3 linked regions of the Elephas maximus indicus genome follow. The protein of the gene in region 1 interacts with the protein of each later gene in a pairwise test. Links are inferred from orthologs where the notes say so. Each region holds a gene or a part of one and is shown on either strand. Other genes may lie near its edges.

Region 1 (7,680 bases):
CCTGCACCTCCTGCCAGCATCTGGTGGCCTCCTCAGACCCTGGAAGCAGCAAGTCCTGCACACAGACAGCTTCTCTGGCCTGTGCAGGGTGACGACTGCTTAAGGCCACCAGCCCCAGAAATGCCTTGATGGGGCGCCCTGTGCAACCAGCAGAAAGAGAAAGACTCGTGGCTGGTGTGCAGGCAGGCCAGCTCGATGTGTGGATGCAGGCCAGACAGGTGGTGGCATAGAGCCCATAGGTGGTGGCACACGGCCAGGCCAGAAGAGCAGGCACCACGAAGCCTGGGACAAGTATCAGGCAGTAGGCATGGAGTAGCAAACTCGGCCCACGGAGAGGCCTGCACCCTACACCAAGGACCACCAGTGCACCCACCAGCGACAAAAACGTTGTGGCCAGCCCGACTAAGCTGCCCATGCTATGTGATGGGTGCATGCACACAGGGGCCCACAGTGGCTGACAAGGTTGAGAAAACTGCTGCCAACCACACACCCTGCAGTAGTAGAGAACAGTGTGGAGCTCTGGTGGGGTGTCACTGCTCTAGGAGCCTTTGGGCCCATGCCGGCAGGCTGACTACACTGGGCCTCTCCCACTCTCCTGCAGACGTGTGTACTGCGTGTAAGTCTGTCTTCCCTGCCCAAGGACACTCTCCAGCAGCACTGAGGGCTCACCGGGTCAAACACCAGTACGGATGTTGTCACATCACATTAGACTGGGACTCCCCAGAAAAGGAGGTACCAGCTAGACTATGACTGGCAGCTAGCCACTCGTTATATGTGCTCACACCTAGGCACCGCCCTCTGCTACGGTACAAGCTCCAGAACACAGCAGACTCACTGATCACGGACCTTCACGTGGAGTTCCTGCAGGAAGTACCTTCAGGTGGTGCATACCTCCCCTCTCCCTCAAGGACACACAGGTCTGGGAACCGGGGAGGAAGCAGGGGGTTGGCCCTCCCCTTCCAGTGATATGCTGGGGCCGGTGCCACTGGCCCTCCACCCTGAGGCCTGGGTCCCTAAAGGGCACTCTCACTAGAGGACACGGCAAGGCAAGTCAACTACAAACTCTGGCTGCACCACTTTGGGCTTGTGTCCAGGGACCCCAGTTACCAAAAGGAGACGCCTCGTGTAGAGGTAACTGAGCCCAGCTGCAGGAGGCAGGGCTGCAGTCCACAGCGCTGGGGGAACACATGCGGGACTGGGTGCCCCACCCCAGGACTGCACATGGGGAAGGCTCGGTGCCCAGGGCTTGCTGCGGACTCTGGGTCATTCTGCCAGGTAAGCCACTGGGGCCAGCGGACATGGCAGCTGAGCACAATAAGGCCCCAGAAGGTCAGCAGACGGAAAATGAGGAAAGACCGCTGGGACCCCAGAGGAGCCACCTCACGTGTGCACAGTGGCCCAGGCAGCACAGCCACTGCCGGCCACAGACAGAGTGCCTGCAGAAAGCCCTACTCTCAGCTCTCCAGGATCTGCAAAGGGCCAGCCTGCCAGACCACACCTTCCCGGACCTGCACTGAAGCATGACTTCTCACTTTACCCACGGCTGCATCTTCCCCGCTCTATTCCCAGGTATTGATCTTCAATAAACACCCCGCGCCCCAGTCTGTGTCTGCTTGAGAACCTGGCCTGTGACAAGGAAATGTATCCCATGTGGCCTATTCTACTTCCCATGTGCGTCTGGTGTTCTGATAAGGAGAGCCCTGGGCTCGGTCAGCCTCTGGCCAGTGCCAGTGGTCAGAGAGAGCAGGCCCAGAACTTCCAGCCAGTGCTGGTGGTCACAAAAACCAGGCCAAGGGCTTCCGGCCAGTGCCGGTGGTCACAGAGAGCAGGCCAAGAGCCTCCGGCCAGTGCCGGTGGTCACACGGAGCAGGCCAAGAGCCTCCGGCCAGTGCCGGTGGTCACACGGAGCAGGCCAAGAGCCTCCGGCCAGTGCCGGTGGTCACACGGAGCAGGCCAAGAGCCTCCGGCCAGTGCCGGTGGTCACACGGAGCAGGCCAAGAGCCTCCGGCCAGTGCCGGTGGTCACACGGAGCAGGCCAAGAGCCTCCGGCCAGTGCCGGTGGTCACACGGAGCACGCCAAGAGCCTCCGGCCAGTGCCGGTGGTCACACGGAGCACGCCAAGAGCCTCCGGCCAGTGCCGGTGGTCACACGGAGCACGCCAAGAGCTTCTGGCTGGCAAGACAGCCGCTCTCTCAGCTGAAGCCAGGCAGGAGGAACACTGCTGGATGCCTGTTGCTGGGGTGAGAAACCAGCACTCGGCACTTGGTCCCACACAGAGGCAACTGGCAGGTATCAGGGCGGGGACCTCTGCGTCCTGCCCCACACCAATCTGAGAAGAGGGGCTCTCTGTGGGAGGGGCTGGTCTGTCTGCTCACTGCAGGCACACGGCTGAGCTGAAGACCAACTCTATCCCGTGTGGGTTGTCTTGGGGTGTAGGGGCAGAAGAGCCCCATGCTGAGACCTCCAAAGTGCCCAAAACCCACGTCAAAAGAGAAGGCATTGCTGTCCACCTCTGAGGAAGCCGTCCCCCTGAAGAGAAGAAACCACCATGCAAAAACAGGTCTTGCTGACTGAAGCCCAAGTTGAGGGAGGAGACGCTCAAACCCATCAGAAGAGACTTGGAAGTGGCCACCAGCTAAGCACCACAGAGCCTCTGCAACTTGCCCGCACTGAGTCCTCGGCTGTCACTTGTCCATGTCTCGTGATCATTAGCAACAAAATTTTTAAGCTAAGAACAACCAAGGACTTCCTTGCTTCTGGGGAAGCAACTAGGCAGCCTGAGGTAGGATCAGGAAGAGAAACCTCAGGAACAAAGTGGATGAAGCAGCTGCTAACGAGATGGAAAGAGGCTGAGTCAGGTCCTGAGGGCGGTTGAGAACAAGGGGCACTGTCCGGAGAGGAAAGGGGTGGCGGCAGGTGGTGCCTGGAGAGGTGGGGTGGCGGGGCCCAAGCTCTCTACACATACAGAGACACACTCACACACACACACACTCACACGCTTTCCCACGGCAGCTCACCTTGTCCCACAGTGACTGCAGCTCCTCCTGCCCCCCTAGGTCCCAAAACATGAGGCGTGCTTTCCCCACATCCACAGTGCCGACTGGGGAAGGAGAGCACAAGGCTGTGACCCTGTTCCTCTGAATCTCCCACCTCCCCCACACTTGTGTTTCAGAAGAGCAGGCTGCCCACAGGCACGTGAGGGGCCCTGCAGCGTCCCAGGGCTCAGCACCCCACACGAGCAGCCTGAAGGCCCAACTTACTGTTCAGGCCCACGGTGGTGGTGATCTTGGACAGGCTCATCCCTTTGTAATGCTTGTTAAACCGGGTTTTTGACTGCTCCAGGAAAGTCTGAGGAGGGAAGACACCATCAGCCAGCAGGCAGAGCCAATTTCCAAGTTTGCCTCCCATATGTCCCTTCTTGGGCCCACTCCTGAGAAGGCAGATCAATGTGAGAGGAACTGGGGGGTGACCTTCCTGTGGCCTCAAAAGGGGTTCAACATCTGTCTCGGTGGTCAGTGTGCAGCTGAAGGCCTAAAACCAAAAGGGCCCCAGCACGCACCGTCTTTCCGGCATTGTCCAGGCCCAGGATGAGGATGCAGTATTCGTCCTTCTGGAACACGTACTTGTACAGGCCCGACAGCAGCGTGTACATCCTGCCTTGAGACGCCCAAATCAGTCAGGGGTGGCCCAACCCACACCTCACTGCCCACCAGCTTCCACAGCTGGGACACAGCACCCCATCCGTGGTCTGTCCTGCCAACTGCTCAGACCAGGACCCCAGGGGCCACTCTTGACCCCTGCTCCACCACCTCTTCAGCAAGCTTCCTGACTCTGCCTCCACTTCTCCCAAACTGGCCTGCTTCCTCCTTCTCCACTGCCACCACCTGGTGGCCAACAGCCTTCCCAGGACCACTCACGGAGTTCCTCAGTCCTAGCCCTGGCCTCTCCAGGTCACTCCGCTCACAACAACGACTGTGGCCTTTCAGGACGTATGTGGACTCTTGTCCCATCCCTGATTCGCCCTCCCGGTACGCGGAGGACCCCAGCCACGTGTGCGAACGCGCAGGCACACGCCCTCGGGCGCTGAGCGCCCGGCCACCAGGCCGCACTCCGCTCAAGCTCAGCTTTCTCACACGCGGGTCCTGGAACACGGTCGCTCCCACTCAGCCTGGGCAACCGAAAGCTCTTTAAGTTCCGGCTGTGCCAGGGCGCAGGCCTGCTCGCCCACCTCGAGCCAGCACTCGCCAGGAGCCACAGGAGGCTACGAGAAAGGGACGTCCGTTCTTTGGAGACAAGCCACAGGGCCGGGGCTGCGGCAGCCGCTGGGGTCGATCTCGCAGGGCAGCACCCCTGGAGGCGGCGGTGGCCGCGAAAGGCCGGCCCGGGCGTCCGAGGCGGAGGCTCCCGGCGCCCAAAGCCCCGCCGCCCACGCAGACCCTGAGTTCCGAGTTCCTGTCAAGAACAGCGAACTGCCATGGCCTTGCCCCTGGCCCTCACGCCGGCGGGAGGGGCGGCCGGGACGCGCGACCTACCTGTCCGCGGGCCTCGAGCCGCCGCCCGACCCGCACCTGACCCCGCGCTGCGCCTGCTGGGACGCCTCGGCCACCCAGACCCGCTCCCGGCGGCCCCCGCGCACCGCTTCCCGGCGGCCTCTGCGCCGCGCACTTCCGGCGGCGGCGGCGCGAGGGCGGAAGTGGTGGTAGGTGCGAGGGCGGAAGGAGGGTCGCCCGACCGCTCTAGCCGGTGAGGCGGGCGGTGCTCTATGGCGGCTGCTGGGTAACCGCGCGGGGCGATGGGGGGACCGTGCTCTGAGGGGACGGGGCCTGAGCCTGAGGTGAGAGGTGGCGCGGAGGTGGGCGTGGACCCGGGAGAACGGAGTCGGCCCGAAGGGTACTCAGGGCGGCCCAGGGGGAGTTGAGGCCGGCTCCGAGGGCTGACTGGGCCGAGGGTCGCGGGCCGGACTGAGGGGAGCTGACGCGGGCTTCTCTGGTCGCCTACCAGGGAGCCCCGAGCTCAGACAGGACACGGAGAACCCCGGTCAAGCCCGACGCATGATCCCAGGGAGGCCTTGGGAGGGAAGCGTAGCTCTTCGTCGGCGGAAACGAGGTTGTGGGGCCATCGGATGGGATTCCTTGCTGGTTCTCCCCCTTGTCGGCATTCTCATCCTTCAACGGGAGAAATCGCCGAGCTGTTTCACGGCCTGTCTGAGAGTTTCTTGAGACCGTGTGAGTAAGGCTCTGCACAGAGCACGGCCAAACCGGTGCTCAGTCAGCTTCAGCCTTACAGGGTGGTGTCGGGATGAGGGCAGCAGACTTCGGGGCTCATTTGCCTTCTCATTGCAGCTCTGGCTCCGGCAGCCTCCTCTCTGAGGACCTAGGGACACACCTCCGTGTCCTCGACGGCAGGATGGATGAGGACAGCTTGGAGATGGCCTTGCAGACCTACCATGTGCAGCTTCAGCAAGTGGAGCTGGCCATGGGTACTGGCCTGGAGGCATCGGAGCAGGCTGACCTGCACCAGCTGCAGGGAGACCTGAAGGAGCTGATCAAGCTCACTGAAGCCAGCTTGGTGTCTGTCAGGAAGAGCAAACTGTTGGCTACACTGGACCAAGAACACCTGGCCCAGGAGGATACTGAGTACCTGGCTTTGCAGAAGACCATCTCTGAGGTAGTTGAGGTACCAGAAGCCCCAGGAGCAGAATTGGAGACTGTTTCTAAAGGAGAGGCAGGGCCTGAACCCAACAACCCTGGGCAAGAGGAAGAAGAAGGGGGGGATGACGAGGAGGAAGAGTTGAGTGGGACAAAGGTGAACGCCCCCTACTACAGCCCATGGGGCACCCTGGAGTACCACAATGCCATGATTGTGGGCACGGAACAGGCAGAGGATGGCTCGGCTGCTGTCCGGGTGCTGTACCTCTACCCCACACACAAGTCCCTGAAGCCCTGCCCATTCTTCCTGGAGGGGAAGTGCCGCTTCAAGGAGAACTGCAGGTAAAGCCCTCTGTTCTGGTGCCCCAGCAGTTAGGGTGTAAGGGACATGCGGAGAGCGGCAGGATCCCAGCTGGCTCTGTCTGTGCGGTGGAGTTTTGTCCTCCGTGACCCAGCAGAGTGGCTGACAAGGAGAGAGCTCTGTGAAGCAGTAGCTTCCCACAGAAGTGTCCACAGTTAGATATCTACTTCAGTTTTACTGGGGGGAAGGACAGAAGAGCTTATGTTGAAAAGAATAGGCTTCTAGCGCATCAGGAGCAGTATTGTCCAGAATGAAACCTTTACGATTTACTTATATTAAGAAAAATTTCAAACACGCGCAGAATTAGAGAGGGTAAGATCATGCTGCCCCTACCTTGTCGTCCAGCTTCATCAGTTGTCAGCGTTCTGCCAGTTTTGTTCGTTTTCCCCAGTTTGAATACTTTAAGGCGTATTCTAAGAGTTACTGTTTTTTTCATCTGCGAGTATTTTAGGATACGTCTCTAACAGACACAGACGTGAGTAAAATAAAAAACATCACGTAGTTATAATACCTCACAGATGTAGCAGTAATACCTGAGTCACGCTCAGATTTCCACGGTTGTCGCCATGATATCTTTTTTACTAAAATATCTAACTTTATTTTTCCTTTTTACTGTTTTTGAAAGGGACATTTACTGACACTTCCAGTCGATAACTCCTCTTTATAGCCAGCAGACACGGTGACTAATCCTCGTTCTTTGACTGTGTTATCGACTTATAGATTCTTTTTGGGCCCAGAATCTTATTTGGCAAAGTTCTCCTTCCTTTTTCTCTGCAGTGTTTATTGAAATATGACGTGTGTACAGAACAGTGTGTAAATCATAAATTTCCTCAGTGGGTTTTCCCACTGGACGAACCTGTGTAATCAGCAAACAGGAGCAGGAACAGGCTTCCCACCTCAGTCCTCCTGGAGGCTTTCACCACGGAGTCTATATGTGCTGTCCTAGGAGGATGATGAGGGCGAGCACTTCCAGCTGGTGCTTCCTGCAGGCCAGGTGTGCAGTTGTAAGAGTTCCCCACACGTTAGTGCTGTAATCTATCCGTGCGGCTCCATTTCACAGGCTGAAAGCTCAGCAGGGATGGAGTTTGGCTGAAGCATCTCGTGAACACCCACCTTTCCACCACCCAGAGCTGATAAGTTATTTTCTTGAATTTGCTTTGGATTTTTAAAACTAAGATAGGAGGCGCGGCCAAGATGGTAGAATAGCCAGGTGCTTCCTGCGATTTCTCTTACAACAAAGACCCAAAAAAACAAGTGAAACGATTATATTTATGACAAGCAAGGAGCCCTGAACGTCCAAGGCGGTGTTAGAAAATAGACTGAGCTGCAGGGGACGGGAGAGACAGTTCATAAGCGGAGAGGAGTTGCCGCACCTGAATTGCCGGGAACCCCCAGGCACCACTCCCAGGAGTGGCTGCGGCAGGCTGGTGGTAGCGTTAGGCCGTGGTTTCCTCAGGGAGAAGCAGCCAGCTGCACGGCATGCCCACATCTCCGGAACCAGAGAGGAACGGTGCTCTCGGCGAAAGCTAGGTACTTGCGTATATTTTAACGTGCTCCCAGCCCCCAAGTCGGCTTCAGTGGCTGTTGATTTCCTTTGGCCTGAGATAGGCCCTATTAAGCGCCCTGAGGCATTCTGCTGACCTTGGAGTAGGGATAAATTCACAATTGGGG
Region 2 (7,746 bases), on another chromosome or scaffold:
GGAGGAAGCCATGCCTTGGGTGTGGTTCTGGGCTCCCCTCCTGCCTCCAGGGCCTGTGAGCAGACGGCTGGGCAGATGGAGAAGTGGCCAGGCAGGCCTAGGGCAGGACGTGGTCCAAAGCAGGGGAAGTGACTTGCTCAGGCTAGGCTCCACCCACGCCTCTTGCCCCTTGCCCTGTACTCACGGGACTCCAGGCAGCCTGGAGGCAGAGGTTCCCACTGGGGATGACCACCAGTACCACAAACCTAGCAGCCAGAAATTGGAAGAAAGGCCCAGTGGTCGTGGGTGATTAGGGCTGGGCGTCCTTGGGCAGCCCTGGGCTCCCTGCCTCCCTGGTGCATTGCCCTGGGAGGGTCATCCCAGCTGCTGGGCCAGGGTGCCCACCCAGTGGTCAGTCAGTAGCATCCTGAGAGCTGCAGGCCCAACCCCCCAGGTGATGGCCTTTTGGCCTTCCTCTTCCCTTGTTTGCGCCATGGATGATGGAACCAGCTGACGTGTGTCGACATCGCTGTGCTGGGCAGTACAATACTTCGGTTTGCTTGTCGGTAAACAGGGGCAAGTTACAGAACTGTCTTAGTTACCTAGAGCTGCTGTAACCCAAATGCCACAAGTACAGAAATTTGTTTTCTCACAGTTCTGGAGGCTGAAAGTCCAAATCAGGGTCTGGGCTCGCAGATGATCCTCACGTGGTGTCTATTTTCCCCTGTGTGTCTCTGTGTCTATTTTGCTCTTTTTATGAGACACCCCTCAGATTAGGTTTAGGACTCACCCTATGCTGGTGTGCCTTCGTTAACATGACAAAAGAAAACCCCTTATTCCCAAACAGGGTCATATTTAAGGTTAGCAGCGTTGTGCACGGGGTCACCCTGGGTCGGGGTCCTCCCCTTAGTTTTCTAGTGCTGCTATAACAGAAATACCACAAGTGAATTGCTTTAACAAAGGAAAATTTATTCTCTTGCAGTTTAGGAGACTAGAAGTCCAGTTTCAGGGCAACAGATCCAGGAGAAGGCTTTCTCTCTCTGTCGGCTCTGGGGGAAGGTCCTTGTCATCAATCTTCCCCCGGGTCTAGAAGCTTCTCAGCACAAGGACCTCGGGTCCAAAAGACATGCTCCCCTCCTGGTCCTTCATTCTTGGTGGCAAGAGGTCCCCCTGTCTCTCTGCTGGCTTCTCTCTTTAATGTCTCAAAAGGCATTGACTCAAGACACAGCCTAACCTTGTAGATTGACTCCTGCCTCATTAACATCATAGAAGTAGGATTTTCAACACATGGGAAGGTCCTAGCCATTAATGAGCTGAAATGGACTGGTATTGGCCATTTTGAATTGGACAATCATATGGTCTACTATGCCAGGAATGACAAAGAGGAATTGTGTTGCATTCACCATGAAAAAGAACATTACATTATCTATCCTGAAGTACAATGCTGTCAGTGATAGGATAATATCCATATGCCTATAAGGAAGACCAGTTAATAGGACTATTATTCAAATTTACACACCAACCACTGAGGCCAAAAATGAAGAAATTGAAGATTTTTACCAGCTTTTGCAGTCTGAAATTGATCGAACAGGCAACCAAGATGCATTGATAGTTACTGGAGATTGGAATTCAAAAGTCAGAAACAAAGAAGAAGGATTGGTACTTGAAAAATATGACCTTGGTGATAGAAATGATGTTGGAGATCACATGACAGAATTTTGCTAGACCAATGACTTCTTCATTGCAAATACCGTTTTTTCACCAATATAAATGGCAACTATACACATGGCCTTCTCCAGGTGGAATACACAGGAATCAAATCGACTACATCTGTGGAAAGAGACAATAGAAAAGCTCAATATCATCAGTCAAAACAAGACCAGGGGCTGACTGTGGAACAGACCATCAGTTGCTCATATGCAAGTTCAAGGTGAAACTGAAGAAAATTAGAACAAGTTGACGAGAGCCAAAGTATGACCTTGAGTATATCCCACCTGAATTTAGAGACCATCTCAAGAACAGATTTGATGTGTTGAACACTCGTGACCAAAAGACCAGACGAGTTGTGTGGAACGACATCAAGGATATCATACATGAAGAAAGCAACAGGTCATTAAAAAGACAGGAAAGAAAGAAAAGACCAAGATGGACGTCAGAAGAGACTCCGAAACTTGCTTTTGAACGTTGAGTAGCTAAAGCGAAAGGAAGAAATGATGAAGTAAAAGAGTTGAACAGAAGATTTCAAAGGGCAGCTCTAGAAGACAAAGTAAAGTATTATAATGACATGTGGAAAGAGCTGGAGATGGAAAACCAAAAGGCAAGAACGCTTTCTGCATTTATCAAATTGAAAGAACTGAAAAAAAAATTAAAGCCTTCAGTTGCAATATTGAAGGATTCAATGGGGAAAATATCAAATGACTCAGGAAGCATCAAAAGAAGATAGAAGAAATACACAGTCATTATACCAGAAAGAATTGGTTGATGTTCAACCATTTCAGGAAGTACCATATAAGCAGGAACCAATGGTACTGAAGGAAGAAATCCAAGTTGCACTGAAGGCATGGGTGAAAAACAAGGCTCCAGGAATTGATGGAATACCAACTGAAAAGTTTCAACAAACGGATACAGCACTGGAAGTACACACTTGTCTATGCCAAGAAATTTGGAAGACAACTACCTGGCCAGCCAACAGGAAGAGATCCATATTTGTGCCCATTCCAAAGAAAGGAGATCCAGCAGAACGTGAAAATTATTGAACAATATCATTTATGTCACACTGCAAAAAAAAAAAAAAAAAACTGGGTGTTTTTTTTGCAAGTAAAATTCTGCTGAAGATAATTCAAAAATGGCTACAGCAGTACATTGACAGGGAACTGCCAGAAATTCAAGCTGGATTCAGAAGAGGATATGGAACAAGGGATATCATTGCTGATGTCAGATGGATCCTACCTGTAAAGCAGAGAATACCAGAAATATTACCTGTGTTTTATTGACTATGCAAAGTTTTTTGTCTGTGTGGATCATAACAGAGTATGAATAACATTGCAAAGAATGGGAATTCCAGAGCACTGAATTGTGCTCATGCAGAACCTGTACAGAGACTAAGAGGCAGCTGATGGAACAGAACAAGGGGAGACTGCATGGTTTAAAGTCAGGAAAGGGGTGTGTCAGGGTTATATCCTTTCACCATACCTATTCAGTCTGTATGCTGAGCAAATAATACGAGAAGCTGGAGGAAGACTCATTAACAACCTGCCTTATGCAGATGACACAACCTTGCTTGCTGAAAGTGATGAGGACTTGAAGCACTTACTGATGAAGATCGAAGACCACAGCCTTCAGTATGGATTACACCTCAACATAAAGAAAACAAAAATCCCCACAACTGGACCAATAAGCAACATCATGATAAATGGAGAAAAGATTGAAGCTGTCAAGGATTTAATTTTACTTGGGTCCACAATCAACAGCCATGGAAGCAGCAGTCAAGAAATCAAAAGACGCATTGCATTGGGCAAATCTGCTGCAAAGGACCTCTTCAAAGTGCTGAAGAGCAAAGATGTCACCCTGAAGACTATGGTGCTCATGACCCAAACCATGGTGTTTTCAACCCCCTTCTATGCAGGTGAAAGCTGGACAATGAATAAAGAAGACTGAAGAAGAGTTGATACCTCTGAATTGTGTTGGTGAAGAATCTTGAATATACCATGGACTGCCAAAAGGATGAACAAATCTATCTTAGAAGAAGTACAGCCAGAATGCTCCTTAGAAGCACGGATGGCAAGGCTGTGTCTCACATACTTTGGTCATGTTGTCAAGAGGGATCAGTCCCTGGAGAAGGACATCATGCTTGGTAAAATAGAGGGTTGGCGAAAAAGAGGAAGACCCTAAATGAGATGAATTGACACAGTGGCTGCAACAGAGGGTTTAAGCAGAATGATTGTGAGGATGGTGCAGGACTGGGCAGTGTTTCATTCATAGGGTCTCTATGAGTCAGAACTGACTTGATGGCACCTAACAACAGGGAGATCACAGCAGATGACAAAATGGTGAACAATGACATGATACTGGGAATCATGGCCTAGCCAAGTTGACAAACATTTTTGGGGGACACAATTCAATCTATAACATCCTCGACCAAGTCAGACTGGGATTAGAACTCAGGAATCGAGGTCCCGGAGCCCAAGTTCTTGGTCAGCCAGCTGTGAAGCTTGAGGGCCTGGCACCCTTGGCTGGGCTGCAGGGATGGTCACAGTCACCACAGGGTCAGGGAGTGTGCAGAGCTCTCGTCGACCCCACTTCGCAGGTTGGCCCCACTGAGGCACGCAGGGCCAGGACGCAGACCCCGACCCACGGAAGGGGCGCTGTCCCCTCTGCCGGGACCTCATTGCCACCGAGGGCTGTGTCCGCTCCGTGGGATCTCCCGGCCCCAGGCCTGGGCTCACTGCGGGACATGGACTTGGCCCCCGATGTGCTGTGGCTCTGGGGGCCGGGCCGGGGCGAGGTAGCGCGGGCACCCTTTGGTGCACCCGGTCCTGGAGCGGACCCGGCGACCAGCGGCCGCTCCCCTCGAACAGGAGCTCTGTCCTGAGGGGCCCACGGACTGGTGCGGAAGCCGGCCCGGGCTAAGTGTACGAGGCAGCAGGCCGGGGGAGCCGGGCAGGCTGTCGCCCAGGCCCTTTTCCCGGGACTCCTCTTCGTTGTTTTGAGTGGCGGCGGCCGCGAGCCGGAACCCGGAGCCGGGGTTCGCGTTTCCGCCCGGCGGAGCCCAGCGGCGCACGGAGCGCGCCCGGCCGCGGCCGAAGGACCGAGTCGTCATGGCAACGCGGGGGGACTGGCGGCAGCGGCGGACAGAAGATCCCGGTGAGCCGCGGCGCGGGGACGGGGAGGAGCGGGGCTTGGCGACCCGGACGCGGCGGAGAGACAGGGTCGCCGGGGCGGGTAACGTGCGAGGACCGCGTCCTCGGCCTGCAGATCGCCGCCTGCTGGCCACACTCTGTGCAGAAGCCCGTGACCTCCACGTCTCGGGGGACATCGCTCCTCAGGAACGCGGTGTCCGACGGTGACCGCCCCGGCGCGGCCGGGCTCGGGCTCGGGGTCCGCCGGCGCGGCCGGGCTCGGGCTCGGGGTCCGCCGGCGCGGCCGGGCTCGGGCTCGGGGTCCGCCGGCGCGGCCGGGCTCGGGCTCGGGGTCCGCCGGCGCGGCCGGGCTCGGGCTCGGGGTCCGCCGGCGCGGCCGGGCTCGGGCTCGGGGTCCGCCGGCGCGGCCAGGCGCGGCCCGGACAGTTCTTCACCCTCACCTGTGAAGTGGGGACATAGTATCAGCTAGAATGCTGGAACATTCTGGTTCTAGTCGGTCTTACTGCTTTGGACATGTTGTCGGGAGGGACCTGTCCCTGGAGAAGGACATCACACTTGGGAAAGTGGAGGGTCAGCAAAAAAGAGACTCTCAACGAGAAGGATTGACACAGTGGCTGCAACAGTGGGCTCGGACGTAGCAGCGATTGTGGGCATAGCGCAGGACCGGGCAGTGTTTCCTTTTGTGCACAGGGTCGCTGTGAGTCGGAACCGACTGCAAGGCCTGGAACAACAACAGCAGAATGCTGGAACAGCGCGGGTCCACCCGAGCGCCCCGGAAGCTCACTGACTGCTGTTTGCCCTTCTTCCCCCTCTCTGCTCCCAGTGGTAGACGACACTGCTATTACTTCCTGGGTTGATGAAGTGCGGGTGGAAGGATGGGAACCTGGCACCGAAGCTTCCTGCTATAGTGCTTTGTGTTTTGTCGTTATTTGGGGAAAAAAAAAACAAACCCAATAACCTGATGGCAGGGCATGGTTATTGCCTTTTTACAGACGATGAAGGTGCCACACACAGAAATAAGATCATTTGCCCAAGTTCTACAGCCAGTAAAGGGGGCCAACCCTAGGCAGTCTGGCTCCAGAGTCTGACCCACCCCCCCCCCCCCCCCCAGTTATTTAGGACCTACAGAAAAGTTGCAAAAATAGTACAAAGAATTTCTGAGCACTTTTCAAGCAGTTTCCTAAAAAATGTTAACTTCTTACACAGTTCACGTACCAAAAGTCAGGAAATTAACATTGATATCAGGCGGTAGGAAACCCTGGTGGTGTAGTGGTTAAGTGCTACCGCTGCTAACCAAAAGGTCGGCAGTTTGAATCCACCAGGTGCTCTTTGGATATTCCACGGAGGCAGTTCTGTTCTGTCCTATAGGGTCGCGATGAGTCTGAGTCGACTCGAAGGCGAGGGGTACCAGGCTGTATTCAAACTTAGCAGCTATCTCTGTGAGGACTTCACTCTGACCCAGGATCCAGTCCAGGACCCTGCATTGCTTTTGTGGTGGTGGTGGTGGTGGCTGGTTGTTGCCATCGAGTTTCTCCGACTCAGGGTTACCTTAGGCACAACGGAACGGAACGTCACCTGGTCCCGCACCACGTTGACCATCGTTGGTGTGTTTGAGTCCGTTGTTGTGGCTGCGCCTTGCGTTTAGCTGCTGTGTTTTCTTCGCCTTCTTCAATCGGCAGCCTTTCCTCGGCCTCTGTGTCTTTCACAACCCTGACACATTTGCAGAGCTCTAGCTAGCAATTTTGTAGGATGCCCCTTGGTTTCAGTTTCCTTTGATGTAAGGAAATCTCAAAAGCGAAGCAGTGTTTTTCTCAGTGTAGCTTGTCAGGAGGCCTGTGACACTGACTGGTCCCATTCGTGGTGATGCTGACTTCGATCACTTGGTGTGAGCGCGTCTGCCAGGCCTCTCCACTGTACAGTTGCTGTTCTCTCTTGTAAATGATAAATATATCTGTGAGGGAATATTTTGAGACTATGGAAGTATCTTGTTTCACGCTGTTCTTCCTACCATTAGCTTTAGCATCATGAGCTGAGTTTTGCCTGAAGCAGCTGTTAATGTATATCTGTCTATTCCATATTCGTTCTACATTTGTAATTTGAAATTCTACTGTAAGGTCACTATGAGTCGGAACTGACTCCATGGTACCTAACAACAACTGTAAGGAAGAACCTTCCCGTCTCCCCCATTTATCTATTTATTCATTTATTTTTGTGTATTGGTGTATTTTTTATATATTCATATATTAAAAAAAAAAAAAAAACCCATTGCTGTTGAGTGGTGACCCTGTAGGTCAGAGTAGAGCTGCCCCATAGGGTTTCCAAGGAGCGGCTGGTGGAGTTGAACTGCTGGTCTTTTGGTTAACAGCCGAGCTCTTAACCACAGGGTCACCAGGGCTCCAGCTATTCGTATATTAGTCTATGTATTTTGTGTAGGGTATGTGTACTAGTCCGTAACTCATGGATTGTGATTTTATTCCATGGGTTGTAATCTAGTACTATCATTGATTTTGTTGGTTGGATTGTCCCATATTTGGCCATTGGGAGCCCTTCAGGTTGGCCTCTGGGTCCTCTTCCGGAGCACTTCTTTACTTTCTGGTACCACAGATGTCCCAGGCTCATCTTGTGCTCTCCTGGACTAGCCCTGGAATCAGCTATTCTCTAGTTCCTTTTAGTTGAGGACGGTGTTTAGACATCTGGGTACTGGGTGTGCTCGCTGCTTCTGGGGTGTCATTGCTCCTTGGCCTTCTCAAGGGACAGAGCAGGGAAATACATCTTTGTATATATCATACACACCTGTCTATTTCTACATCTGTGTACCTATGAATTTGCACTGACACCTTCAGTTCCCATCCATTACCACAGGGCTTGTGCTACTTTCCCTTGCCTGGTTTGTGATCCTTTCTCTGAG
Region 3 (5,981 bases), on another chromosome or scaffold:
CTGACCCACTGAGATCAGGCTGTGTTGATTATGGGTGCACTTACCCAGGATCCAGGATTTAATGTTAACTGGAGCACCTGAAAGTGTGCGACACTGGTTAATTGAGCTTGAGCTCCACCACACCCCCACAAGCAATACAGATTAAGGGCCAGAATTTCCCTGGCAGCATTGAGGAAGGAATTCAAAGGCCCAGGGAGATGGGAACATCATATATGTGTCCAGACTCCTGCCTGTTGTCCCCATCTAATTATCAAGTGCCCCCAATTTAGGATCATGTGCCACCTGTTCAGCCACCCCCTATCCATGCCACCCTGGAGTACCCAGAGGCCACTTCTTTCACCATGGCTTTAAGAAATGCCCTGGTGAGGGGAGCTCCAGACTCTGTATCAAGCCCAGCGGTGGCTGCCCCTTAGCCTAGAGATGACAGTAGGTTATAACTGGGATGGAACTTGGTCCCCTGATCTCAGTGGGAATAAGGAGAGCCAGAGTGGGAGTGGCAGCACTTAACCATTAAAAGACAATATATTTTTTTAGTGCTTGATATTTATTGAAAAGAATGCAAATGCTTTTTCCAGGTAGTATTGGGCTGAGTACCTGTCTTTGTTTGTTTGTCTGTTTTGGTTTTTGTATTTTGTTGTCCAAATGCACGCATCTGCAGGACTGCTGCAATTTTGAAAGAAAAACAACAGCTGTGCACAACTGATGCGGAGGAGAGAAGAAATGTCCCAATTTGGTGGCCAGACCCCAGCAGCCACCTGGTGGGGCAGGGGAGATGCTGGGAATAGGCAGGGAACTAACCAGGCTGAAAGGCTTGTCTTTGCAAGGGTCAGTGAATTGTCCAAATCAGTGTTCAAGGAGGTGCACCCAACTCAGGCATCTTCTAAGTTGGTCCTTAGCTCCAAAGGTGGTGGACGTCAGTGGGAAGCCGTAGATGGCAGCTTAGGTCTCTGGGCAGATGCAGACCTGGCAGTCAGGTGAGTGGCAGCAGCGGGACTGTGGGTGGTCTGTCCAATTTGTCACCTGGGCCTGGCCTACAGCTGGGGTTCAGGCGACATGCCAAATTGACAGGGAGGGTCCTGGGGCTGGCCAGAACGGGCGGTGGGGAGGTGCCTAGGGATACCCCCGCCCCAGCAGCAGGTTATTGGAGCACTATTCCTGGAACAAAGACAAGCACTACGGGGGATGAAGAGAGAACCAGAGAACCGAAGGGCAGGGAGAGGGAAGGTGACCAAGGAGGACAGGGGACAAGGGTAAGCGCGGCGGCTCAGGAGAGGAGGGTGAGGAGGGTGGCAGCGTGCAAAGCCCTCCCCCCAGGCCCGAAGGGCTCCGGGCCTAGTAATAGTCGTCTTCCTCATCGTCATCGTCGTCGTCGTCGTCGTCGTCATCATCATCATCATCTTCATCATCGTCCCAACCGAAACACTGCTTCAGCTCATCGAGGAAGGCCTGGTAATCTCCTAGGATGGGGCTATCCAGCTCGATGTAAGGAACCACCCACTCTTCCGCTTCCCCGGTCAGGAGGCTAATTAGGAAGGCTACCTTCATGGCGTCGTTGCAGAATCGGTTCTCGTTGACAAGCATGTAGGACGTCGTCTGCACGATAAACTCGGGGAGCCGGGCGCTCTCGCCGCTAAACGTCTCGGGGAAGGGCACCGGGCAGCTGGGCGGACGTACCTGGCGCAGCAGGCTGGCTCTCTCGCACACCAGCAGCCGCAGCTGCTCCATTAGCTGGCTGTTCTCGATGCTCAGGGCCCGGTGCCGCATCAGCAGCGCGTGCAGCAGCAGCACCAGCTCGTCCACCATGGCGAACGCCTTGGAGGGGCTCGGGTCGCTCGGCTCGGCCACGGGCTGCGCGGAGGCCTCGCAGGAAGTGCGTGTCCACCGGGGCGCGCGAGGAGGTGGAGGGGACAGCGCACCGGGGGCCTGGCCACTGCGCAGGCTCCGCCCACTGGTCGCTAGGGCGGCCGGCTGGGCGCGGGGGGCGTGGCATGGATAGGACAGGCAGGGCCGCGGGGGCGAGGCCATGAATGGGCTCGCTGGGGCGTGGGGGCGTGGCTAGGGGCAGGGCTGGCAGGGGCTTCACCAGCCCGCCGGTTTATCCGGGCCGTTAGACACCTGGGTTGTGAGCTGCATTAACCGAGGGCCTAGCAGGCGCCGAGACCTATCTCTCAAGGAGAGCCAACCGGCTCAAATTGAAAGGATTAACAACCACCTTCCCCCCCACACACCCAAAAAAACACAGTTCAGTGTTCCCTTCCTAGGTCTGCAGCCACTAGATTCTATTTGCATGAATTCCACGCACCCAAAGAACTCCTGGCTGCAGAAGTGGGTGTCTTGCAGGATTCACATTCTTTCTGAGACATACACACCCTCAAGGGGTCCTGTCTTTCATGACAAAACAAAATTTAAACGGAATTTACTTGGGAAATGTTGTATAACTCATTTTTTATTTTTCTAAATAGCGAGGTATAAAAAGTTCTGCAAAATCAGAATCTGATAACCCTTTGCAGGCATCCTATTTGTACGTCTAGTTCATGTCTTAATATTGGCGTCCCTTGGCCATTAAGTGTTATTATTATTCTTTGCTTAACAATTAAGACGTTTGTGTTTTTAAATGCATTTGTTTTTCTGCTTTGAAAGTGATTATTCCAGTAGGTGTTGAGCAACTGAGTTGACCCAGGACCTTAGAGTCAACATATCCTGTTGGCTCTGCTTTTAAAATATATCCCCAATTAAATCACTTCTTGTCACCTCTACCACTAACACCCTGGTCTAAGACTTCTTTTTTGCACCCATACTTCCACAACTGATGTCTTAGCTTTCACTCTTACCCTCCTCCTGTAGTATATACCCCACAGAGTAGACACAGGAACCTCTTTAAAACAAAAGTCACCTCATTAAAAAACCAGTTGCTGTCAAGTCAGTCCCGACTCATGACAACCCCATGGGTGTCAGACTAGAACTGTACTCCACAGAGTTTTCAATGGCTGATTTTTGGAAGTAGATTGCCAGGCCTTTCTTCTGAGGTGCCTCTGGGTGGAATTGAACTTCCAATCTATTGGTTAGTAACCAAGTGAGTTTATTGTTTGTGCCCAGGAATACATATTTGCTGTGGTTTCTTATAAAGTTAAACATATACAGTAAAAACCTACGAAAGCTGGAACCTGTGTAAGGGGAAAACCTGTCAGAGAAGGAATACTCAAATATTTTCCACTAATAGAGAGTGATAGGAAACAGTGATAAAAGGGGGTATAACTGCATTCTGTCAAAGATGGAAAACTTGTGAAACCCGGAAAAACAAGGCATTCCACTATAGGACAGAGTAGAACTGCCCCATAAGATTTGCAAGGCTGTAAATGGAAGCAGCGTGTCACATTTTTCTCCTGCTGAGTGGCTGATAGGTTCGAACTGCAAACCTTTCAGTTAGCAGCTAAATGCTTAACCACTGTGCCACTAGGGCTCCTTTCATATGTACCTTGCAACTGAGCAATTCCATTCCTAGTATTTACCCTAAAAGAATAAAAATATATGCTCACAAAGATTTCTGCTAGAATGCTTATAAAGTGTTGGAGACAACACAAATGACCATCAAAAGAAGAATGGATAAAACAACTTGTGGCACATCCTTATAATCAATACCACTCAGCAAGCTGTTAACACACATAAACAAGAATGAATTCCAGAAGCATTATGTTGGCTGAAAGAAGTCAGGCACATAAGCGTGACTATGTGGTTCAATTTATACGAAATCCAAGAAGAGGCAAAACTACTCTGTGGTGACAGAAATCAGAAGAAAGGTTATCTGAGGCTGAATGTATAGGGCAGATTGACTGCAAAGAGGCACAAGGGAACTTTTTGAGGTGGTGAAATGTTCTGTATCTTTACTGTGGTGGTGTTTACATGATTCAATACAATTGTTAAAACCCATCAGACTAAACACTAAAATCTATGCCGCTTGATTTATGTAAATAAACCTACATTTAAAAAAAAAAAAACTGTAGAGAACTGTTTCCAAAGACCTCAACAAAAGAAAAACTAACACAAAAATTCTAAACATAACACAACTGTCATTTAAGTATAAAGACAGAGAAGGTTTTTAGTGCCAGGAATATATTTCCCAGGAGTCATTTTTGAAGATACTGCTAAAGCTCAAATTTTAGCACTCTCTCTCTCTCTCTCTCAAGGTCTAGTCAGGTAAATAGAAGCTACCCTATGCACAGACAGTTCTCTTTTTGTATAATATTTTTGTGCACCATTTCAGAAGGCACGTGATGTCAATTTGTTCCATCACGGATGATGGTAATTTTATCATTTAGTTAAGATGTGTTAGTTAACTAACACCACTCCCCAACAACATGGCTAAAATTTCAGTTACCATGGTATATCAACTGAGTAACAGCATAAAGCCCAGATTTTGCTGTTCATTCTTTAGTCTATATATCACTATGTAAATAACAGATGTACCTCATGGTAAGTGACCAATCACATCACTTCTTTGAAAGTCTGTTGGTGATTGGTCACTGTGTATCTAATAGTTCATGCACAGACAGAAAAGCATGCTAATTATGTTGCCTCTTTGTCTTCCAGTGATAAAGCCATGTGACATTTTATAAAAATAGATAATGGAAGGATGGAATTGGCCAACAAATGACAGCTCAGCAAAGATGTGAAAAATAATACTGAAAGTGAAGTTGGAAAGTGGTTGTGATGAAAGGGAAGAAGCTGTTCCAGAGAAGTGATACTGGGGGGGTAGGGGACAACTTTACATTAAAGGAACTCTTGGAGAAATTTTACATTGAAAGAGCAAAGGATAAAATGTTAGAAGCTGATCCATACTCAGAAAACCCAAAAACCAAACCCAAACCCATTGCCGTCGAGTCGATTCCCACTCATAGTGACCCTATAAGACAGAGTAGAACTGCCCCATAGTTTCTGAGGAGCGGCCTGGTGGATTTGAACTCCCGACCTCTTGGTTAGCAGCTGTAGTACTTAGCCACTATGCCACCAGGGTTTCCATACTCAGAAAGGAGTATGACAATTTGCCAAGGCATATAAAAGATGCTTACTCTGTTCCATAAGTTATACATACAGTGAAAAAAAGAAGTCAAGCATTATTCAAATATTCTTGGTAAGTTTTTTTTTTAAAGAAATAAAACACTTTAATGCTCAATGTTTCTAATGTTTAAAATCACAGTATACAAAATAACTGTTAAGTTAGTACACTGTGCTAAATTTTTATCCTATTAATTTTTTTTTCTCTCTATATTTATAACTAACGCCAAGAGGGTGTTAATATTTTGTGAAAAAAAATTTAAAAGTCACGGAAAATTGTAATTTTCCCCATTGATTATTAAAATAATTTTGCATAATTTCAGTTTGCAAGATTATTTTTATGGCCTCACACTACTGTGCTAAGGGGTTTAATATAACTAATGGGACAGTTGGGGATGAAAGAGAAGTCTTCATGGATAATCACTGACTGAAGCACCAAAGTTGGTGGTTCTCATGAGCTTGATGAGGAGCTGTTGTGATTTTCAATAATCTCAGTGAAGCTCCCAATCACTATCTCAGTCTAATATAACAAAGTCTCAGTCTGATACAACAAAGCAGATGTTTCTCAAGAGCTTAGTAGGAAACCCCTGTGAATCTCATGTCTGCCAATGCACCTGGCTGCAACTGCTCGAAGAGTATGATGGACTGTTCTCTTCCACCTTCTAAATCTTATGTCAGTGCCTCTGACTCATGTTAATTGAGAACCACTTAGGGAATTCTGAGAAATTGTTCCCTGGCTTCTCTTCTGTGATATAATGTAAACCTTAAAATAGCTTGGTGGTCATGGTAGGCAGAATAACAGACACCCAAAGATGTCTGCACCCTAATCCCTGAAACCTGTGAATATGTTACCTTACATGTGGAAAGAGAACTTTGCAGATGGAATTAAGGTTACCTTAAAATGAAGAGATTATCCTGGATTATCCAGG

What was found. The genes of interacting proteins can lie anywhere in the genome.
Region 2: the proteins of ZGPAT (region 1) and CCDC57 interact in binary tests that used the Homo sapiens proteins (3 or more experiments, as listed by UniProt). The two-hybrid records come from large-scale screens. The link is inferred for Elephas maximus indicus from reciprocal best matches to the Homo sapiens genes ZGPAT and CCDC57.
Region 3: the proteins of ZGPAT (region 1) and LDOC1 interact in binary tests that used the Homo sapiens proteins (3 or more experiments, as listed by UniProt). The two-hybrid records come from large-scale screens. The link is inferred for Elephas maximus indicus from reciprocal best matches to the Homo sapiens genes ZGPAT and LDOC1.

What each region holds. Positions count from the first base shown.
Region 1 is NC_064843.1:4,354,534-4,362,213, reverse strand, and holds the start of ZGPAT (zinc finger CCCH-type with G patch domain-containing protein), read left to right. Parts: upstream 1-4,671; 5' UTR 4,672-4,699; exon of another isoform or gene 4,700-4,743; intron 4,744-4,750; exon of another isoform or gene 4,751-4,834; intron 4,835-5,001; 5' UTR 5,002-5,122; coding exon 5,123-5,223; exon of another isoform or gene 5,224-5,225; intron 5,226-5,342; coding exon 5,343-5,990; intron 5,991-7,680. Other genes in the region: ARFRP1 (ADP-ribosylation factor-related protein 1), read right to left, coding at 3,018-3,100, 3,261-3,348, 3,560-3,652. UniProt on the Homo sapiens protein: Transcription repressor that specifically binds the 5'-GGAG[GA]A[GA]A-3' consensus sequence. Represses transcription by recruiting the chromatin multiprotein complex NuRD to target promoters.
Region 2 is NC_064837.1:72,005,985-72,013,730, reverse strand, and holds the start of CCDC57 (coiled-coil domain-containing protein 57), read left to right. Parts: upstream 1-4,732; 5' UTR 4,733-4,796; coding exon 4,797-4,842; intron 4,843-7,746. UniProt on the Homo sapiens protein: Pleiotropic regulator of centriole duplication, mitosis, and ciliogenesis. Critical interface between centrosome and microtubule-mediated cellular processes. Centriole duplication protein required for recruitment of CEP63, CEP152, and PLK4 to the centrosome.
Region 3 is NC_064846.1:14,503,381-14,509,361, forward strand, and holds LDOC1 (protein LDOC1), read right to left. Parts: upstream 1,919-5,981; 5' UTR 1,804-1,918; coding exon 1,333-1,803; 3' UTR 515-1,332; downstream 1-514. UniProt on the Homo sapiens protein: May have an important role in the development and/or progression of some cancers.